Linked DNA regions of Drosophila melanogaster. Changing the gene in region 2 together with the main gene of any one other region gives a genetic interaction. Each region holds a gene or a part of one and is shown on either strand. Other genes may lie near its edges.

The links.
Region 1: of Ser (region 2) and N, changing one suppresses a phenotype caused by changing the other (phenotypic suppression), as found in Drosophila melanogaster (3 studies listed by BioGRID).
Region 3: of Ser (region 2) and fng, changing one suppresses a phenotype caused by changing the other (phenotypic suppression), as found in Drosophila melanogaster (5 studies listed by BioGRID).
Region 4: of Ser (region 2) and ap, changing one suppresses a phenotype caused by changing the other (phenotypic suppression), as found in Drosophila melanogaster (2 studies listed by BioGRID).

What each region holds. Positions count from the first base shown.
Region 1 is NC_004354.4:3,133,357-3,138,862, reverse strand, and holds the start of N (notch), read right to left. Parts: upstream 3,994-5,506; 5' UTR 3,196-3,993; coding exon 3,036-3,195; intron 1-3,035. UniProt on the Drosophila melanogaster protein: Essential signaling protein which has a major role in many developmental processes. Functions as a receptor for membrane-bound ligands Delta and Serrate to regulate cell-fate determination.
Region 2 is NT_033777.3:27,190,824-27,196,644, forward strand, and holds the start of Ser (serrate), read right to left. Parts: upstream 3,445-5,821; 5' UTR 3,121-3,444; intron 1,302-3,120; 5' UTR 920-1,301; coding exon 683-919; intron 1-682.
Region 3 is NT_037436.4:20,945,998-20,951,949, reverse strand, and holds the start of fng (fringe), read left to right. Parts: upstream 1-2,437; 5' UTR 2,438-2,648; coding exon 2,649-2,780; intron 2,781-5,952. UniProt on the Drosophila melanogaster protein: Glycosyltransferase involved in the elongation of O-linked ligands to activate Notch signaling. Possesses fucose-specific beta-1,3-N-acetylglucosaminyltransferase activity; extends the O-linked fucose on the Notch EGF repeats.
Region 4 is NT_033778.4:5,723,085-5,728,829, reverse strand, and holds the start of ap (apterous), read left to right. Parts: upstream 1-1,997; 5' UTR 1,998-2,970; coding exon 2,971-3,009; intron 3,010-5,745. UniProt on the Drosophila melanogaster protein: Required for the normal development of the wing and halter imaginal disks.

The DNA.
Region 1 (5,506 bases), on a different chromosome or scaffold from region 2:
TGGGTTTGCATTCGTGGGAATTGGCCTGGTTTTTTGCTTTAGGTGTTATAAATGCATCTCAGACATACAGTACAAAGTTATTTATATTGATGGAATTGAGGTATTGAGATTCGAATTCAATTTGAGTTGGTTATTAATGACTACCTTGGTTTTACTCACTAACTGAAGCATTCTTACCAATTGCTTCTCACATCTTTTAATGATCATTTAATGCATTATTTATTCAAATGTATAGTGTATGGTATTTATGGTATTTACTTAATGTTGCCTAGTTTTGACTTCATGTACTCTTCCTTTTTAAGAACATAAATCTAGGTATTGCTACCCTCATCTCTAGTTGATCCTTCAATTTAAGTGCCCTCCCTCCATTTTCCCCTCTTAAATTTTTATTTCCATTAAATTTGGTTGCAACTTTATGTGGATGATCCATTCCGACCATAAAGTGCACACTTTACGATCCATAACCATGGGCATGTTGGTTATGCATCGCCATACATGCCGACTTCATGCGCCAGAGCTACATACATACTTACGTATATATGTACATGCATATATAGTACTTTATGTAGTATATTTATATTGACTTGAAGTCTAGGCGAGGGCTAATTAGGGATCCGCCGTGTGCGTGACTTACGAAAGTCAAGAAATGTGTTTTCGGTTTTTACTTCTTTGGTTTTTGGGGTGCGCACAGGATATACAGGAAATAGCCGAGAGAGCGCGCAGATACAAAAGTATCTCTACTCTATGCCCGCTCATTTCCCTTCTCGCTCACGATACAAACAACAACACCATGCCGTGCGATGCCATGCCATAGCATATCGTAATTTGATCTTTGAACAAACAGCAAAAAGGACGCGCATGTGCAATATGCCAGGACTCAGGGGTTGCTCCTGCTGCTCCTGCTTCTCCTGCTGCTGTTTCACTTTTGGCTCCAGGAGCCCAGCTGTCGTTTATTCCAACTACATTCTTTCTATATGCGCCTGGTTGTGTACATATATGATGAAATCGAATGCGGTGGTTGGTTCTGGTTCTCGTTTCTCGAAACCGTTACGTGCCACATTAAACCTGCAAAAAAATAATACCCTAAATTTGTGGCTAAATGCAGGCGTTCGATCGCACAAAGTTGAACAAACTTGGATTGGAGCTAATGGGGCGTAAATTTGTGAGAACTTAATAGGTACAAAAATGTACATGAAGATTCGAGAGATTTTTGTTTTTTTTTTTGGTTTTTTTTTTCCATCTTCGAACACTTTTTTCTTAGCGCAGTAGTAGAATGAAGTGAACTGAATGCAAAGGATGCCCTTTTTGTTTTTGCAATATATCCTGGCATCAATTAACACTCTTATTATTACTACTTTCAGCATTTTTTTCACCTTTATATGCATATGCATTTGTATACTTTTTTATACCGTTTATTTAACTTTTACTACAACTTCCTTTGGCTAAAACTGCAAAGATCACACGATTACCCATGGCTAATAAAGCCAGAAAAAAAAAGAGTTTAGGAGGCGGAAACTCGAGCTCAGGAAATGCCCAGGTAAAAGTTATAAACATAATAGTTCAACGCTCTTCGGTTGCAGCTGTTAAAAAATATAAAAAAAATAGCAGAGATCATGGAGTGCGTAATAATAAAGTTGCCCAGTGCTCAGGGATCAAATTTCTAGTAATGATCATTTAATTGCTTTTAAACGTTTGATGGATTGATGGATTTCGATAGATTTTCGAATAATGAAACAACAAAAAATTCTCTGACATTATCAAATTTGTTTCAAAATACTATGATATCGAGCTGCATTCCCCATACTTTCTCATCGTTGAGCCGAGAATTCCGTCGAAGAGATTTCGAGTTCCATGGAAAGTTGACATTTTACTGGGGCAATCGACCCTAAGTACACCTACAACCGATCCGATCCGATCCGATACGATTCGGTGTTTGTTCAGTGATTAGACAACGACCGCTCCATATGCAAATACCCAAGTAAGCCCCATGTGCATGCGGCACAACACAGCGTGTGGAGGAGGAGAGTTCGCTTCCAAAGCTGGAAAGGAAGTTGGCCACTCACTACTAGCGAGCAAATAGCGCAGTGAGAAAACACAAAGGAAAGAGTGCCTAGAGTGCTAGGGGAATGGAAAAACTCGCCTTTTGCCGACGGTAAAAACGGTCTTTCTTGTTTCGAAAAGGTGGGTTTCCAAATCTGAGAGAGCATGCGCAGTCGGCGGAGAGCGAGACAGCGACAGCGATCGAGCGAGAGCGAGAACGAGATCAGCGAGACAACAAGGAGAGAGAGAGAGAGAAAGAGAGAGGAAAAAAAAACGACCACCTGTCCGAAAAGCGACAACAAAGCGAAGCCAAGGAAGACAGCGCAAAAGGAAGCGCGGTGAATACAAGCCATGAAAAGGAAGGCGAAGAGCGAAGAGGAGCTGCCCAAAAGGGAGACAAACGAAGAGGATCGAAAAGGGAATGGAGAAACACAGAGAACGCATTTGGGAGCGGATTCCGACGATTGCGTTTAAAGTGAAATTCTTTAAGGTAGGATTTGCAACAATCCTATAGGCTTATTAAGCAGATTAAGTAGCATCACTTCCTTTTTGGATTACAGTTGCATGGGTTTGCTCAGTCACTTATATGTGTTGCGAATGCATCCGATTTTATAGACCAACATTTCCTAGCTATGCAATGTAGCGATCTATCCAACGGGTTTAAGCGGAACTAGTCCAATGCAAATGTATGTATATTTTGTAATTGCAATTTTAGTTGTTTCATACTAAGTATGCTCCATTTAAAACTGACATCTAAGACCAAACAATTATGCGATTCAGTACTATTAGTTGAGATCCACATCTTTCAGCTATACAAGATCATCTTATCTCATAGTTTTGGTTCTGTAAAAAACCGTTCTTTGGCAAGCGTTTTGGAACGTTTTGAGCCTCCTGGAATTCCAGTTTGTGCACCCACCCTATTTTCGGGCGACCCCGCCTGTCACCCTGCCCTCCCCCCGCCTAGTTGTTCTGATCGGCGTCTCCGCTTTACTCACCAGTTCCGCGAACGGTGTTTGGCAAATTCGCAAACGCCAGCGTCAACAGCAGCAGAGGCAGCGACGCCGGCAGCGACGCAACGGCGTGCATTTTGTTAATCCAAAAACAAATCCAAGTGTTTGGTGCGCGACTGCGACGTCGGCTGCGCTGCGATTGCATTGTAATCCAGTTTTCCAGTTAACCACTTTTCCAGTTTTTCACCTCTACTCGCTTCTCGGTTTCTTTAGCGCTCCTCTTTGGTCTCTCTTTGAGGATATGTTTAACTGCGAGTTTAGGTTTAGTATGCTAGTCTCAGTAGTTTAAGCAATTTTTTGTTTTAGCGCGTTTGTTGTTTTTTTGTTTTTTTTTTTGTTTTTTATAGTTTTGAACTTCAGACTTTAAAGCTTTATTTGATAAACTAAGAGGAGGCACTCTCCCGACGACGGCGACATTTTCCGTTTTGAAACATAAAAAAAAAGTGGCAAAAAAAGAACGCTTTTCGTGTATCTTTTGCTTGCTTTTCTCTTCGCGAGGATCGAGCCACAAATTCAAATTCAAACCGACGCCGCACGCTTGCGTATTGCTCTCTTCCTCTTGCGCTTCTTGCACTCGGCTTTCGTCTCACTCTCACACACGCGCGACTCGAGGTAGATACACTTTTCGAAAATCCTTGTTTCTCTCCCTCTCTCTCTCTCGCTCTCTGTGTCGCTCTCTCGTTGCTATCCCTGCGACAGGCACTCCTTGCTCTTGCTGAACGGCTTTCCCGCTGGGGCCATCCTTTTCATTTCATTGCATTTGCTTGCTGTGTAATTGATTTGTTTGTATATCCTGTTGGCAGCGCGATTTTACGTGCGTTGTTGCACACACATTCAAAAAAAAAATAAATGTTGAGAACTGTGCTCTGCGCTTTCCAGGTTCGTCTGCCTAACGCTCGTCCGCTTTCACAACCGTTTCGTCCACTGGAAAAAAGCGATCTGTTTCAAATCGGCAGTGTGACCGCGTCGGTGCAAGAAAAAGATACCGTATGGCGGGGAGCCATTTTGGCAGCGCGCTCTTTCGCAGCGTTGCGAGATCGGTTGGTGAACAAATAACGTTAGCCGGGCTCCGAGCCGCTTGCATGAGTAGTTTCCCCATTTCGCCGAATGGCGCTTTAGTGCCGTCATAGCGGTATGTAGAAATTACGCTATGTAAAATGTAAAATTCGACAATGTAAGATTCGTAGAAATTACGCTATGTATAATGTAAAATTCGACAATGTAAAATTCGTAGGCACTGGAAAAAAATGTGCATAAATTTGATTGAAAAACGCACTTGTAGCATTTTTTAAGTATTTTATTTTCCTTTTGTTCTCGTATCTTTATTTCAACTAATTTGAGTTGTTCTCGACTTAAGTTAGGTTTTCCCGCAATACGTTCTTAGTTTTCATTTTCCGTACCTTTTTTTTTCGCAACTCCGCTTCCTGCAATTATCATACTTTACTTGGCTTAATAGGATTTCATTTGAATTTCATTTCGTTTCGTGTGTAACGTCTATATAATTGAACGCTTAATTGAATCGTTTGACAATTATCGAAAACAAAAAAAAATATGTAACACCATACTTATCTCCGATTTTCGGAACGCTATCCCAGTTAAAAAGCTCGGCGCAATTGGCCCACGGAAAGAATAGAATTAGATTCGAGTGTATAAATCAGTTTAAACGAACGGGCATTATTTTTAAGCATTTTCAGAATTACTTTAGATAAATACATACATATGTATATTCTCGAAAGAAACAAAAAATAAAATATGAAACAATAAATTAGTTAATTAATTACAGTATTGGCTTAGTGAATTAAGAACCCAACGAGGAATCATAAGGCAGCATTTCGTGTTAAAAATTGAACGCTTTACACTTAATTGCGTTTTTTTTTTTTTTGGTAGATCGCTCAAATGTTTTACAAATTGTTTCTAAGCTTTTTAAGTTTTTCTTTTTACCTTTAAAATTCTTCATTTACGTCTATAAATAGGCTTAAACCTAAACTAGGCAGACAAAAAAAAAAAATTACAAACATTCTCTCTAATCTTAGCTAGTCATTTTTTAATTCAAGCGTTGACATACACATTTATGCTCTATATATATATATATATATATATATATACGATATACAATATTTCATTTGCTTCTTTACATAATTGATTTAAGTTCAAATATCATTTACGCGCTTAGGGCTAGACAAAAAAATATTCAACTTTTCACATGGATGCTGAAATGCTGTGCCACTGAAAACCCGATCAAAAAGTTGGAAAGTGGGAACTATATATATATATATATATATATATGTTGGTGGTTTTTCTAATTTTATTCACTTTACTCGTAAATCACCAATATTTGGACATCTTTTTGTTTTTAGTTTTTTGCGGCTTGGGGATTATCGATTAAATTGCAATAATACTGTAGCATCCCGTAAAAATATAGTTTTCAATTCAATTTCAATTTTGTTTGTTTGTGT
Region 2 (5,821 bases):
TTGCCATGTGGGAACCATTTCGTAGAGATGGTTCTCGTAGATAGAACTGCCCACTAATCTGGCGGATCACTTTTCGAGGGGTCCTCATCCATGCGATCGTTTTAAGCCCAGAATTCTTAGTCAGAGGCTTTTTCTAAAAATCGAGAATGACTTTATTTAAATGCCAGTTTAATGGTTAAAACTTGGGGAATATTTTGACTAAGTGCAGTTATCAAAATGCTGGTAGATTTGTTGATATTTTAAAACGTAATGGATACATTAATTGAACAGGGAAAATATATCCTCTATTTTAATCTCAGCATTTTCAATCTTATTAAATAACTTAAGACTGTAAATGATTTCTGTTTTTTTAACGCGTTCTACGAATCTTGTTTATTGACATATGCTTGATTTACTGCTTTGAGAAAATTCCAGCGTAAGAGCTCTCATTAAAGACAGCTCTTCGGGATGCGGAGTTGATAAATCACTCAAAAAAATAAACCCAAAAATCATCATTATTTACGTCCCCCATCAAAACTTTGCCCTCAGCCATTGCCAATTCGCATGGGTTGAATCAACTTTGTCTGTTTTCTTTTGGCCTTTTTGACGAGACACTACACCCGCATGTATTTGGATCTGGGGCTTTTTGCGATTATTGCTTTGGGGATTCGATCGTTTTTTGCATGTTGGTTGGTTTGCTTACCTTATGGACTAACAGTATTAAAATTAAAGCAATTAAGTTGCAGGCAGACTTTAATGATCGACAATCGCGGATCGTCGATGGCAGGGTCGCGATTTTGGGTACCCGATGCCTCGGACGCTGCCTTTTTGTCGCCGTCTTCTTGGACATTCCCAGGCTGTCTGCTGATTCTATTGTTGACTCCAACGACGACGACGTAGCTGGTTTTCGCCGAAAATGTTTCCTAAACATTTTGTACATTCTGGGGGCGTTTGCGAGCGTGATGCTGGTTGGCGATCTAGATGGAGTTTGTTTCGGATTCACTCTGGATTGGCACCACACAAATGTAAATTCGCTGGGCAGCCTTAATTAGCCCATGTATGCAGATTTTGGTGCCTTTGTTTGTTTCTATTTTGCCACACTACACTTGCTCTGGATAGCTGAATAACTGGCCGTACTCTGGATGCTGTATCATTTTCTCCACTTTGCCTTCGTTTTGTTTGGTTTTGTTTGGATAATGTTGTTATCACACACAATTATTATTTATTATTTATATGGACCTTAGTATGTGCTTCTCTCGTTTTTGTTTTGTTCACACTTGACACTTCCACTTGATAGGCGCTGATGTTTTGTAGATCTTTAGCTGTAACAATTGTCGAACGAATTGGAATTGAAACGGGCTGCGCAAAATCTATTTCACTGTGCATCATCAACGCTAATTGACACGCAGATGATGCTGCTGCTGCTGCAGTTGCAGTTGCAGTAGCGGCAACCGCAGCAAGCCGCAACAAGTGCCACCAGCCACCGCAGCAACATTTACTTTTGCCAGACCGCAAAAAGCGGCAACGTGCAGCAAATGCAAATGCAATTCAATTTATGTTAATTTAACGCTGTTACTGCCGCTGCTGATGTGGCTGCTTCTGCAGTTGCTGCTGCTGCGACTATGGAGCCGTGTCTTTGGCCACAAACAATTTGCATCTTGTGCGCATATTAATTTACAGATATTTTCACTCTTGCTCACATTACTCATTCTTCCCACCCTGCCGCTGCTTTTGCCATTCCGGCCATCCTATCCTCCCATGGCCTTTAGCCCCCCAGCCCGCCCCGGTTCCTCCTGCTCGGGTGTTAATTGTCCATTTAATTAAGTAATTTGCTTGGGGCCTCCTCCCGGCTTTGGCACGGAACGGAAGTCGTTGACTTTGAATCGAAACCCAGATGCTGCCGCTCTTGCTCATGCTGCTGCTGCTGCTGCCGCTGATGTGGATGTTGCTGCTGCTGCAGGGCATGACCGGAAGTGGCTTTTGCAAGTGGATGATGCAGCTACCTCCCCCTTAATACCCCCTAATACCGCTACTTTCACTCTTCTCTCTTGGCAATTTGCAAAACGATGAATGAACTTCTAGCGGCCTCAAAACTTTAGTATACCGTGTATCCATTTCTATTTCTAGTAACTTCTGGATATACTCTGATTTATCAAATAATTGTGCAACCAGATCACCGTCTTGAACTTAACGATCTGAATAAGCTTTGGACCGTGCTAGATCCGTTATTCGTTGCATATGGTAAATCATTGAGCAGTGCATCGAGCATTTTCCGCGCTCTCTTGATCAGGGGCTTTCCCATGCTCGTACCACCCATTCAGAACCAAACTGATTTCACAATCTCTCTTTTCTCCCGGTGCACAGAAGAAAACTACACTACTTCATCTATACGGAAAGTTCTTTAACTTTCTAATAAAACATTTGTTATTCAATTCAAAATTCTTTAAATTTAGAAAAAAAAATCCGTGTTAAGCATCGCTTTTAGAAAGTCAAATACTTTCAATAGGTTGTTTGGGAATCCCACTTATTAAGTTCTAGTGGAAATTTCTCTATGTGCGCCCATTATTATTATTATTTGTATTATCTGCGTGCATTATGAACTAGTCGGATGTTTTCATTCTTTCTCCCTTTCACTTGGCATGTTTCAATTCCACTTCGTAGTTGTAGCTTCGTGTGTTTGTGTCCCTGTTTTGCGTCCCTGTGTGCGTTATCAATGGAGCACACTGTGGCCAGCGATTCCCCCGGAATGGGGCACTCGTTTTCGCATATTCACATTGTTTGCACTTTTACTTTTCGCCTTTGATTAAACACAATTTTGACGGCATTGTATTTTGATATATTAATGTATTGTATTTAATTGAAAGGTATTTCCGTTTTCCTTAGCTCACACGATCTGGGCTCAGAAATTAATCACACACTATGGAAACACACACATAGCAAAATGTCGGCTGATTGTCGATCTTTCGATTTGCTTTTCTTCCACCGAGCATTTGTAGTTGATTGCTCTTCATCATTTGTTGTAATCAGCAAGCAATTTAATTCGATTGCGGCACATTAAACACTTTCACAATTGTTATATGGATGATGGTCGGTGGCGTTCAGTTTGGGTGCACAATAATCCAATTCGAGGAGGGGTTTTACCGTTGACAGAAAAGGGGCTCATCACCGCTCGAAGCACGGCGCTCGACTAAACGCGTTAACCGAATCCTGCGGCATTTCCAGCCCTCGAGCAGCATCCATTCACGGGGCGGAGCAAGTCACGCGAGAGAGCTGCGGTTTTGGTGGTGGTAAAGGTGGTGAGGTGAGCTGTCGCTGCTGCTGCTGGTGGTGGTGGTGGTGGTGGTGATCTGCAGTCTTAAGAGAACTGTGGCTCGGTCTGAACCACCGAAACCGCTTTCAAAATAAACTGGCGACGACTTCCGCTGAGTGCTGCGTGCGCTTCAGGCTTCGACTAACGACTGATTGCCTCTGGGCACAAGTTGCCGTCGATCCCGAGAGCTTAACTCGCAGCGATTCTCTCTGTGCTTCTCTTTGAAGAAAACCAGTTTGCTCTTCGTGCAGTGCTCTTTAGCCAGCCGCTGATTGGTCGTACGACTGTATATAGCCCCGGGGCCCGGAATCTGAATCAGAATCGGCAGTTAATGGAGTTGCTGCCGCTTCGGCTGCTGCACGCATGCGCGCCCGAGGCTCTCGGCTGCCGTTTTTTACGATTCCAACTTAATTATGCCAATAAGTGCATTCTGGGGCTGTGTGTGTATGTGTGTGTGTGCTCCAGATCTAGTAGCTCCAAGGGACTGGCAATTAACACCTAATATGAAGGAACGCTCCCACAATCTTTAACGGCTGGGAACCAAATCGAAAGATACTAGCATCGGCCAATTATTAACCACACAGACAGAGCGGCGACTTCCATCCAATTATCTGCTGGCCAAAAGTGTATAAATCAAATTTAAATGCAACTGGCCTATCAGTGCAGCCAAAACAAAAGACTTAAGCAACAAACTTGGCAATTACATGCGGCCAACAAGACAGGCGGCAGCATCTTTGTTGTTGCTGCTGCCTACCTTACTGTTGTTGTTAGCGGCTCATATTTCTTGAGGCGCATATCTAAATATCGAATCATGTTGCTGATTTTCCATTGTCTGCCCACCACAGCAACAACAGCAGCAGCAACAACTGCTGCTGCCTCAACAACTGCAACAACACATAGTAAATCTCATTGTGCCGTTGTGACATGACTCTTGTTCGACAATAGATAAAACAAATTGACTTGGTGTGTGCCCAAAATGTCTTCTCTAGCCGTCTCCCTGGCCATTTGGGTCTCCATCCTCCTCTATTTGGTGGGCGTACTGGGCAGCGGTCTCCCAGCTCCTTTGTCATCTTTTCTCGCTTAAAAAAAAAGAAGAAAAAAAAAACAGAAGAAATGGAAGAAAAACTGCACTACAATGCCCATTATCAGCTTACATATCTGCGACAAGAGACCCCAGAGCGGCAATTGTACGGGCCACCGAGACGGCAACGGCAAAGGCAACTGCCAGCGGCAATGGCAACGGCTTCGTTGTCCAAATATGTTGCAAGTTGGTGTTATTCTTCACACGGCATCATAAATTTCACGTATAATTGACGCTTTCAGTTATATCAAAATTGGCTAAAAGGCGACGACCAGCTTTGCGTTGGTGGCCAGCAGACTACAGCCTTCAGCCATCAGCCTCCAGAGACTTCGAGCTGGTGCTCCCCAGAGATATTATTTTTGCTCACTGTGGCTTACATTGTTTTCGTTTTGATTTCAACTAATAGCAGACAACGACTTACAGGTGTCTTTGTGCGCGTCTCTCATAATTTGGGGGCACTCTGTGTTGGCGGCTTGTTGGACACTTGTTCGGGTTTGATGGCATTTCTTTTTTGGGATTAGCTTTCGTTTTCCGGCCAAGTGTTTTTGTGTTTTTTGGTTTTACTGTCACATGTAACAGCTGCAAAAGTGGACCAGAGCGGTGGCATAAATCCATAAAATCAAACATATTGAGTAATCAAAATGTTAAACCCACCCTCTTGACAAAGGTTCACCCCCTCAAACCAAAAAAACCCTCGTTGGGCGAGTTCATTAAACAAACAGGCAAATATGTTGGCAATTTCAACCAGTTGGTTTTACACCACTCAACATTTTATGACAGATTTTTCAAGTGTTTTTTCCGCCTCCTCGTTTTTCTTTTTTAATTTTTCACTCCTCCTGCTGCCGTTGTGGTGGCTGTTTGCGGTTAGTGGTTTCTGGTGGTTTAGTGGTTGCCACATAGTGGCCGCCCTTCGTCCGGAGAATCATTGCCTTAGGTTAGTTGTTTACGAAGGCTTTTATTGGCACACAGCCGGGTCAGGAGATTTATGGGCAATATTTTTAGCGTAAAGTTACGGACACTTCAGAGAATACTCGAGCCAAAGAAATTGGAAAAAGAATGGGAATTGGAACTGAGCTCAAAGGGGGCAGCACTTTTCCCGAAAACCATTGCGGTATTTACTTTAAAGATCTGTGAGTGTTAGCTAATAGTATTTCACACTGTTTAGCTAAATGGTGTATAAACTACAAATTCTATACAAAAGAGGGGTCGCTGAACTTAAGGAAAATAATCTGATCTTATTAATTTAAATGGTTATTGCACTAAGAAGCTTGTGTAAAACTAAGGGTTGCAGCCCATAGTATTATCTTGGCTAAATGAAATAGCATCATTAAAAATTATAGATCTTAAGCTAAGTTAGGATAATATAACTTTTCAATATTAGAATATGAAGATAACGAGATTATGAAATTGGCTTTTAGAATCCGTTGCGCCTTAAGTATTATTTATGTTAA
Region 3 (5,952 bases), on a different chromosome or scaffold from region 2:
TCTGCGGCTCGCTTTGGCCTGGCGACACTCGTAACCGCAGGGCGACGGCGCAGCCCGTTTTCGATTAACGATGACCGTGGTTGAGGACCAAGACGAGGACGCGGATGGAGGCAACTTGAGCGTGTGCCAGCCGAGCGAAATTTTATCTGGATGCCCAGCCGATCAGTTGAGAAGCTAGAGCTAGGCTACACTGAAAAAAAGTGATTTCAAATTATTTTTAAAGGTGAAACCATTTCAGAAAACATTTTTGTTGTGCTGCAAGCTGCATGCGAAGTTGTATGGTATTTTCAAAAGTGTTATTGAACAATTATTTTTTAATTTTTATGGAGATCTTAAAATGGTTTGGGATGTGTAAGTCCGAGTTGAGCACTGAGTCCGTGGCAACGCCTTCGGTTTACATTTTACAATCCTAACAAGGTTAGGCCGCCCGATAAACGGAGCTGCACTCGTTTGGTTATAAGGCTAGGTTGTGATCTGGGCTTTTCAGCTGAAGTTGCAGTTGAAGATGCAGTTGAAGTTGCAGCCGAAGTTGGAGGCTGGGGATCGGAACTTGGAACAGGCAGCTTGCAGCTGGAGGTGGCACATGCCTAACCGGCAACCAAGCTGCTATGCAAACACACACACACACACACACTTATACGGAGCGGAATGGTGGCCATGGCTACGAACTGTACATACGGAATTGCACATTAAAAATGAGCAATGGGAGTGGGCGGAATACGGAGGAATGGGAAGTGGGTTCCGAGGGTTTCGTGGCAAGCGGGCGGCTGATTCCAGCCGAGCGATGTCTTTTTCTGTGGCAGAACAAGGTTGGAATGGCCTGCGTCGCCGCTACCACCGTCTCTGCACCGGTAGAAAAATCATACTGACATAATAATAAACTAATAAAAATAATTAAAACACTGTGAAGGCCAATTGATTTTGCTTGCTCATTTGGGTACACACAATGGCCACTTAAGTTAAACAGTTTTAAAGCCCCTGGGTAATTGTCGATGGTTCTAAATTTATGCTAAGCTTTTGTATTTAAAGGGCTCAGTCTTAAATAATCTAAAACATTAAACTATTAAGGGTTGGATAGATTTTTCAGCTGACACAAGGCGATAAAAGTTTACATTTTTATGCTGTTCTCTTACCGAATTAAATACGAATTCACTATTTTCTTGCAGTGCTCCGCCGACTCTGCTTAATGCAATTCAGGCGAAAGGCGCACAAAGGGACAGCGAACAAGATGCCGAGTTGCTGATTGTGCGGGCAGCGCAGTCGACGCGGGCAGAGGTGTCCGCAAAAGCTTTTGTCGCCGCCACAAACATGGAATATGACAAGCTGGTGAGGAGTAGGATGGGATTCGGATTGGGATGGAATGGGATCGAGCTGAATGGGCTGAGAGCAGCAAGAGGAGGAGGAACGGGAAGATACTGCTGGATGGTGCCTGGCATGCAAAGCATTGTCAAGTGGGGAGCAGGCCAAGTGCTACACAAAAACCGAGCGACAAAGAAACGTCGCAGAACGCTGCCGACGCACGTGAGATGTGGATGCATTTGATGCACGGAGCGAGAAAGGGATGTAGAAATTAGTAGTTTGAAATTATTGTAAAAGAATTCTTCTGTTTGTATTTTTTAGTTAAATTAATTACTTATCCATAAATACACTGTCTAACTATTTCTAAGCCACTTAAAGGTATAATATAATCTGAAAAGACCTCTCTATTTGAAATAAAATTTCAATGGTAAATAGAGGAGCGGCTCTTGAATGTTTAAATAAAGTTTAATGCTTGCACTTTTTGTTCCAAGTGCATGATTTAAGAGTGTGTAGGCTTCCCTGTGTGGGCAGGGTAGGGAAGCCAGGCGAAAGAGCGATGGAGAGAGCGAGAGACAATGGCGACAATAAAAATGCGATCGCACAACATGCTCCACAGATAAGTTAACGCAAAGTGACAACGTACAACTTTTAATGGAATTGTCGTCGCCGACGGTGGGCGGTGGGGCGTGGCAGGGTAGTCAGGAGGGGAGTGGGGGTATATATGACATAGCCAAGAAGTCACCGCATTTGGAGCGCTGCCAAGTCAGTTGAACTATGTTTACTTTAAGGATACGGCCGCCACCTGGAAAAGGGACCTTCAAAGGCTGCCTTACACGATTCCGAATCCCCGATTCCGATCAGAAGTGGGCTGAGTGGGGGTCGACACACGAGCACATGAAAATTGCCTTCGGCAGCTACTGTGGCACAAGCTAAAGAGAGAGGATGAGAGCGAGCGCGATCGAAGAGAGAGCGCCAGCTGCTCCCATTGGAGCAGCTAACGTTTCCAATTGGACCAGCTCAAAGGGAATTCTCTCTCTCTCTTTCTCTCTCGCTACTCTCACCGCTTACTGGTCTTTCTGGTTTTTGTTTTGTTTACGATTTTCGCTGGAAGAAGAGAAGAGTAGATCGCGCTACCACAATCAGTTGCTTTTCAAGCTTGCCACAAGCAAGACGTCAGTGCGCGCGTGCTGCGATATCGAAATCGAAATAAACTTAAAAGATATCGTAATTTCAGAAATCGAGCAGAATTCATACGATCCAGGAAAAGAACCAGCTAATATTGGAATATAAAACCTACCCAGTGATCAAATCGGCGGTGCTTCAATGTGCGCGTAGTGGTCCGTAACCGTATGATGAGCCTGACTGTGCTCTCGCCACCGCAACGTTTTAAGCGAATCCTGCAAGCCATGATGTTAGCCGTCGCCGTCGTCTATATGACCCTACTGCTCTACCAGAGCGCCTACGGATATCCGGGCATCCAAGTGAGTTGCGAGTTCGAGTGGGCGACATAATCCAGCTTGCGTGGGTGTTGTTAGCGCTGCGAAACTGTCAAACGTGTGTGCTCCGCACTGATCTGCATAAGTTGCAAAGCTGCAAAGGCCAGGCAATTTGCATTATCCCCCTTTGATTCCGATCCCGATCGACGTCGACTCGTGCACTTTCATAAATCAACGCCGGCGACTTGAGTTTTGCAGCTGCGGCTTTGGCCGTTAAAAAAACCTTTTACGCCCTTGCCTTGCATATAAAACAGTTTCGGTGCTTGGCTTTTTGCGCTTTTATACCCTAATAGGGGGTATCATAATTGAACACAAATTTCGGCGAGGAAGCGTTTTAAAAGGATATACCCTACGATTGGTGATTGGATGGGGATCGGTATCACGGGGAATTCATTTGGAACTAAGGACTTGATTGCTTTAGAAATTGTGCAGAAGTTTATGTAGAGGTAGTGCCTAGCTTAGTGGTTTGTTTCAAAAATGGAAATATGATCCTGAATTTATTTGTTTTTTTTTTTTACAATTAAGCTTATATTTGATTGATTTAAGGACAAGAGAATGTAATTCTGTTAAAGTTGATGTTCAAAGATCGGCTCGCATTATCGAGACATTATTAAAATCCTAAAATCATACCATTAGGCACTTGGAATATATTTTTGAAAATCACCAATACTTTCCAATTCCCACAAGAGTATTCCCAGTTTCGATTACCGAAGATCCAGTCAACCGTTCCTGAATTTCTTGGTTTGCCGTCGGCAGAGCGTCGCCAAAGCTTTCAGTTGCCTGATTCCAGGGCCTGTCAGGGTTCTGAGCCCTGTCTGCTCTGCCCATTTATTATTGTTCTCTTCTTACTCTTGATTTTTGCATAAATTTTTGTGTAATAAAATATTGTGTGCTAATATTACCAAGGTGTGCGCTGCGAGGGGGGATCTCATGGAGGTGAATCTCAATGGACTCGTCCAGTGGAAAACCTTGTCAGTTGCATCACAGATAACAAATAGTTGAGGTCCGTGGGAATGGCCTTAGTTAGCCTCCTATTGCATTGCAAACACTTTTTGGCAGGGTTTTATGCGAACAGGCTATTTTTAGAACCCTTGAAATTCGAACTATGTGTCCACCTTCTAGGATTATCATATTTTAAAAACTTTAAATGAAACGACGCCATAAGAAAATAGTGCACATATTTTTAATCAGTTGCATATACAGATTCCTCAAAGTTTTCTTCCAACATTTCTTTATATAGTTCGATTTTTGTTAAATGAACCCTACTGCTGTAGTTATACCTTCAACTGTTACAGCTCCCTAACTAAGGCTTACAAATTTCATAATATTAGTGATTCGAGCCGCTGGCAATAGAGTTAAGAGCTCATAATTGAATCAGCTGCAGCATCCTCAAAAATATCCATGTAATCCCCTTGCCCTTCACCACCTTCCGGCTTCTCAATTTGCAACTCAATTGCCCAACTTCGAGGCTTCGAGGCGAGTTTGTGGAGGCTCCCCTGTAATGTTTTCGCATGCTGCTGCTAGTGTAATTAAAAACTTTATGTTGTTTTAATTCGGACAATGCTGTTGACGTTGTGGCTCTTCCAGTTGCTCTACTCTTTTTTTTATTTTTGTGTTCTGGGGCTAACCGGAAACTTGGCAGGAATTAGTGCTACACACACATCGCACTACTAAATACTGAGCCGGATAAAAAACTGTCGACAACTGCTGTACTGTTGTTTGTCTTTTCAATTGAAGTTCTGTTCCATCGGAGGTCTGTGACTTGTCCCAGTTTAAAAACTGCATGCCGCGTACAATTTGCTTAATTCTTTTCGTACTTCGTATATGAGTGTTCTCTTTTTGTTCCTAAATGTTGCGCAAAAAGTGCTGCTTGTTGACTTGACATGACTTGGCTTGGCTCGATTCTTCGAACTGTTGAACAGCTAAACAGTCGACTGGACACATACTCGCGCTAAACTGGGCTTGGCATTCGCCTGATAAAGCAATAATTTCGAAATCGGGCGGGGGCGGGGCGGGGGTATTGTCATGGGGGTCTCCATCAGCCCCACAACCCTGCCTATCCAAGATTCCCAGTATCTGATGTCTCATGTCCAGTTGCAGCTCACGTCGCCAGGTCGCCAGGTTGGCATGTCGCGTGTTGCTGACGCATAAATCATAAATGAAACGAAATGAATAATAATCGTCAAACGATTTGCTTGTTTATGAATTTCTTTAAAGTGGCGCGCCAAATGGCCACCAGTCGCTGATTGATTTGAGTAGTTTGTTGTGGCTACACTGTGATCAGCTTACCGATGACACATCGATATGGATAGTAGATTACTTACGTGCATTTATGAACGTGCACAATATAGATTTTTTCTGTAATGACATCTAATTCTTCTTCTAAGATATCCGAATTTATTTTCCAGTATGGACTTTCAAATATTTTTGACGAGTGCATGGTAAATACATAATAACATTAACAAACTCCTAAGCTGAGGAGCATGCAAATCAGCTTGAGGAAAGCAACAGCCACAAGAAGCCTTCGAGGCAGCCCGAGAGACAAAGACCACGATGATGATGATGATGATGATGTGATTCCTGTTTTTGGCCAGGCCAAAAGCAGGTGCTTGCTCTTCACTTCCCATGGCCAACTTAATGCAGCTGGTTGCAGCTACCTTTCCGTGGCCCCTCGATCCACAAAGCCCTCCTTCTGCCCGCCGCTCACGTAATCAGCCCGAAAAAGTTGACGACATTAAGCCGCGGAAGGCGCCTGATAAAAGGAGTAGTATCTGCAGCTGGGCAACCGAGTAAAAGATACCCATATCTGGGTATCTGGGTATCTTTTGGTGGTCGCTTAATTGAGCCTGGATGCTCGGATGCCTGGCTGCTGAGCTGCTGCTGTTGTTGTTGTTGTTGTTGTTGTGTGTATCTTATCTTAGATTCGTATCTTACGGATAATATTGTTAAACAGCATTTAATGAAGATTTTCCCGCTCGCCCAGCTGGAGGCGAACGAACGGTTCTGATTGCATTTTTTCGGGAATGCCTTTGATTTGTTCGATTTCGCTGATTTATGCTTTCCGTTATGGCGACCAGAGTTTAACTCAATTAATCTTCCCAAAGGTCGCCTGAGAGGGGTAGATTCCATTTGGCGCCCTTTCATATTATTCACTCGC
Region 4 (5,745 bases), on a different chromosome or scaffold from region 2:
TTATAATTTTTTTTTATAGTCGAGTTCGTCGTCTATTAGATATCCCTTACTTAGCCAAATTAACTTCGAGGGAGACAGGTTCCTGCCCCCTTCTTTTACACTTACCACTTATTATATTTATGGTATCTAAAAACTTCAAAAGTATCGGAGTGACTCGAACTACATATTTTTAGTATTTCGTTAGATGTTGACTAAAGAAAACTTAACTGCCACGAATTCAGTATACCCTTATTACGTATTGTAGAGTAGAATTCTAACAGAGGGATGAGATGGTTATATTTTCTAATAATCACATAACATGATTAACGTTTATTATACATAAATCTACAATTATTAAAGATCAAATCGGTTTATACACCAATGTTTTACCAATGATTACTGTTACCGTTATTTTGTCCTTATGTGCCCATCTCTTATAATGTATTAGTATATTTTACGCACTTTTGTAAGATGGGCCTGTTTACAATAAAAAAAGATGTAAAATTTAAAAGAATCTATAAACAAATTATTATGAGGCACTGTACCAATTATAATGGTCTGAAAATACTGCATGTATTCGCATTTACTCTTGTCAATATTAAAATCATGAGAATTCAGCTGTGTATATTCGTAAGGAATAAGGACCCAAAATCTGTGCCGACGTCCACAACCAATCCACCCAATCAGTTCCGACTTAACCGGGGTTCTTTGAAAGCCCTCTTAAGTCAACAAGCAACAATAGCAACAACGAGGTGAAACATTTTGCCCAAAAATAAAGTTAAATGCGAAGGCTAAGTCGCACAAACATTTCAAATACGTAATACATGTTTTAAAACTTTCTGCGAAGAGTTCAAAAAGCAGCGGCGAACTTATGTATGTAACAGCAGAAGTATATTAACAATTACACTTAAAAAAATTTCTTTTTCAACGATTGAATCAACGTAAGCTGGTTGAAATTCTGAAAATGCATTGCAGTTAATGGCAAATATTTTACATTATTAAAATGTAACCGTAACCTCAACCAAAACTTGCCAAATATATGTAAGTTACAACCGGCAAAACACTCAAAATGTCAAACATTTGTGGAATCATAGTGAATGCATACCACAAAAGCTGAATATTTATAGCTGTAACTGCAATAAAAGTATTTAACGTTAAATCTGCTCCCTAAGCCATTTGGAGATTTGTGTGCACTTTGTTTCAAGCTTGTGCGGAATTAAAGGAGAAGTGACAGCAAGGTTCTATGATGACAGTTCTTATTGGAAGCAGGCGACAACTTGGGCGTAGTGCTGGTAGCGTTTGAACTGGTTGAGAATTATAAATACACCTGTCAAACGAACCTATATTCTTTCAACATTTATAGCGTCAGCATACGAAAACACAATAAATAGCTCTCAGTAAGTTAGTTACAACTTTTCTGCATGATGTTTTCAGCATGAAGACGGCATATATAGACACCATGCATCTTTTCATTACACAACTAAAGAATCAGCAGAGTCAACCGAAGACCCGCTGGTGTGAGAGTTCGTTCCCCTGTGCGTCCTCAGACCACTGTTCGTCCTCTGCGAGTTGGAATTCCTGTCACGGACTCCGCTCGCAGCTTCCAGTTCGAGTCTGGAGTCCATCCTCATTCATGTGGCGTCTGGCGCACAGCTTATACTCCTCCTGACTGCTGCTACCGCTGCCTTATTCACGTTTTGCAGCCGGCCAACTGTCCGGTGGGCGGTGCGTGGGGAGGCGATTTCGGCTGGTGCGAGAGCGCGGATAGAACACCACGCCCTCTTCGTCTACTGGCTGTGCTCTAGAGCGGGAACGAGCTACTGACGCTATCAGCTGAGAGCGCCGCCATTTGCCACTACGTGAGAGCTGCGGAATGAGCGTGTGTGCAAGCAGGATGGCAGCTCATGCGCGACATCGCACTCACTCACACTGGCGCGCGCACATCACGCACGCAAACACACGGCGAACGGGGCGGTGGAGTTTTTTGGCTTCTGGCGCTGCGCTCGCACAGCGTCCAAACATTCCCAGTTTTTCAGCTGCGACGGCTGGTTGTCCTCACGATTTTGAGTAGATCAGCTGCAGACCAAAGTCGGTAGTCGAGTTTCGAATTTGAGTCGGTTTTTGTTTTTGGAAGCGGTGCGCGTATTCGATTTTTGTTTTGACTTGAGCTCGGCTGTAGTTTCGGTTTGCCAGAACTGGATCGAAGGAGAATCGACACAGAAACAGGGAGTTGGCGAAACGGATACAAAACTGAAGTTGGATCGGTAATCGCCTGCCCGGTCATAAACAACAACACAAGGGAGCACAGCCGCATACGCATACGCGCCTCTGTCTCTAATGCCTTATCAGTAACAGGCATCGTCGAGTGTCGTAGGAAGAGCCCGACAAAGGCCGACCTTTACCACTCAATTTGGATCTGATGTGCCATTCTCGCGCTGTCTCGTAAATTAATGTCATAAATTAACTTTAGATTTCTTACGCTAACCGGTGGTCGTCAGCGGTCCGAAAACGCCTTTGCGCTCGAGATACAGGGGCGGTTTCTAATCAATACAAATATCCTACCTGCCGCCGAGTCAAGTGTTTTAGTGAGTGTGTGACCCTATGTTCCTTATATTACCTTGGTGCTAAGGAGAAAGTTTAAAAAAAGCGGCATTCAAATCGTAGTTTGTGCAATAAGAAAAGGCAAGCCAATGGTGTCAATCTCTAAGACAACGCCGAAGTGATGCATGTCCGCAAAGTAATAGATCAAGTTGTGCGCACACTTATTACCGGCGAGCCTAGCCGGGCATCTAATCGTGGCCAGTGTCAAGTGTCCAATAGCACATCTAGCCGGGGTGTAGAGGATTACCCAAGACCAACGTAGCACCGCAGCCCTTTTAAGGAGGCATAAGGCTCGCAAGACACAACGCACAGCCTACACAACGACAAACATAACACGACCGACGGACATCATCCTTGGAAATAGACCTCGTGTCATTCCAAAAGACGCACATGGGCGTCTGCACCGAGGAGCGCCCTGTGATGCATTGGGTAAGTTCTGCCGCCGTAGCACATAAAATCCAAAGTTACCAGCGATAAGACTAAAAAATAAGTCATCCACCAGTCCGTCCCAGCTCACCCAAACTCTGCCCTTTGTGATTAATATTGATCCGAGCCTGGGTTACTCGGAGTTATCAATACCAGACTGAAAGCTTGCCTATCAACAGACAGCCCCACTCAATATCGATAAGAAAGCCGCTTGGGCATTTCAGATTAAAAACAGTTCCCAGAAGTGTTCAATCAGTGGCTAGTTCGCTCGTTGAAACATTGCTGTAGAACGCGGTTACAAAATTTCAATGTGATTCCCTGCCTTAATTTTTATTCATCTAACTTAGGTTAGAATCATTTAATGTTTAAGAAGGCAGATTTTTGATGATAGTCGTACTAATCAATATACAATCAAATTGGGCGGCATAGTCGTGCAAAAAAATTAATAGATATGTAGAAATCAAAATACAGGTAAAACAAATATGTACGTTTTTACGAAATTTTTGTATATATCTGATATTCGACGCGAACGTATTCAGTTTTAGAGAATAATCACCGTGTGCCAATATATACCAATTTGATATATTTTAATAGTAGTCAATTGACCTTCAAATACTAATTTTTAACGCGAATAAGGCATTTTCTACCACACAGAGATATTCTTGTACCATTTTTTTGAAAAGAACGAATTGCCTTGATGAGTTACATGAACATCTTTTACCTATTTTTGATTTTGTCATTTTTAATTGCTATTCCTATTTTGAAACATAACGCATTCCTTATACTTTATGCAAACAATTTTTTGTTACTTTACAACTTTGGTGTTTGAAATCTGTGTGTTTGTTTTAATTCCCATCTTTTGTATGTTTTCCAAATGTCATCGATTACTGTAAATCGAGATGTACGAGTATTCGAATTCTAGTCTATATATACCACATCTATATATTGTACAAGAATTGTATAAGATTGTATTGTATAAGAATAGGAAAATCGTAAATAAATTGGAAGAGTAAAATGGTATGAAACATTCGTTGAAAAGTATGTAACAGACAGATGGAAGGGTTACCGACCCTTATAAGGGATATCCTTGATTAAGGTCAATAGCCGAGTTGATCTGGCCATGTCCGCCTGTCCGTTCTTTTATTCGTCCAACCGTCCGTCCTTTTAAACGTTTTAGGAATTGTAAAAGCTGAAACCTAGTCTTGAACATTCATATTGTACTGCCGTTTTAAAGTATTTCCAAGTCCACTAAAACAAACTCCCATATCTCAAAATTCTTTCTTCCTAAAGTATTCGAAAATGTGTTGATGATGTGTTTACCTGATAAATTCGGCACATCGATCAAGTTACGAAATTGATTAAATTCGGACTATTAAAAATTTTATAAAAGTAATTTTAGAGTTTTTTTTTTCAAATTTTTATTTTTGTACATTTCTTTTTATATATAAAAGTCGAGTTCCCCAACTATCAGATACCCGTTACTCAGCTAGTGGGAATGAAAACGCAACATTTCATCATTTTGCTGGAATATCGTTAGATATCGGTGAATAAAATGAACAAAAATTTAAATTTAAACCGCCAAGAAATACGCTTTTGAAATATGTTTTGATATTTTTCATGTTTTATAAGTCTTTAAATTTTTACCGATTTGCCAAAAAACTCTTTGACATGCACAAACAGCCCAAAGCGGCCACGCCCATCTTGATGAAAATGTTTTGGTATATTTCCGTTTTATGTATGTATTGTAATACCAAGAAAATTTTTAACACACCCTTTCTAACTTATCATTCGTCTTAATTTTTTTTCCAATTTCTTTCGATATGCAAAAAAATTGAAATTTATTTTTCGCAGTCTGCCTAGCTGAGTAACCGATATCCAATAGCGAGAAATAGACAACGAATTCAAATACATTTTTTTGTAGCTGTCATTTGCCCGTAATCAAAATATCGGAAACATCAATAAGTCCTATTGTTAAGTTTGTTACAAAACTCAATTTTAATTCAATTCAATTTTTTCTACAAAAACTCAATTTTAATGTGAATAAATACAAGGGGAAATTTGCTTGATATTGTGCGCTTGGCAAATTAACACAATAAAAATATTTTTAGTGCACTAAGTATCATATACATACATATGTTTGCGATTCTTATATTCTTTAAAATAGTAGAAACTTTTTCGATCTTTAATGTATTTTACAATAATGTTAGGCATTAACGGTGCTTATTATATTATTATACGTTATTATAACGTATTATTATTATTATACGTACACATCCGATATACTCTGTTTGATGACTGTGGATCGACAATGTTAGGAACTTCAAATTAGGAACTTACAAATGTATCATTTGATATAGCTAGAAAAACACAGACATTTTTTTGAAGTAAGTGCTTTCTGTCTACAGAGTGGCCAAATAAGCTTAAAAGTTGTTTGAATATTTGTAGTGGTATATTAGTTGTTTAGCTCGGTATCTGTAATATTGTACTTTTTGCCACTTATCTGCAATTTGGTTCACTATGCAGAGCAACCTTCATCAGGTGAATAATATGTTACAACTCATTGTCTAAACGTTTTATAATAGATTGGCACAGAAAACATACATCTATTGTATGTTTTGGTTTCGATGGAACCGTTTTAAAATAACTAACAATAAAAACAGCCATAACGTGTTCCTAAAAGCCTCAATTCTTTGTTCAGATCGTCAAGTTGTGCAGGGCACATAGCTTTCCGGAAATGCC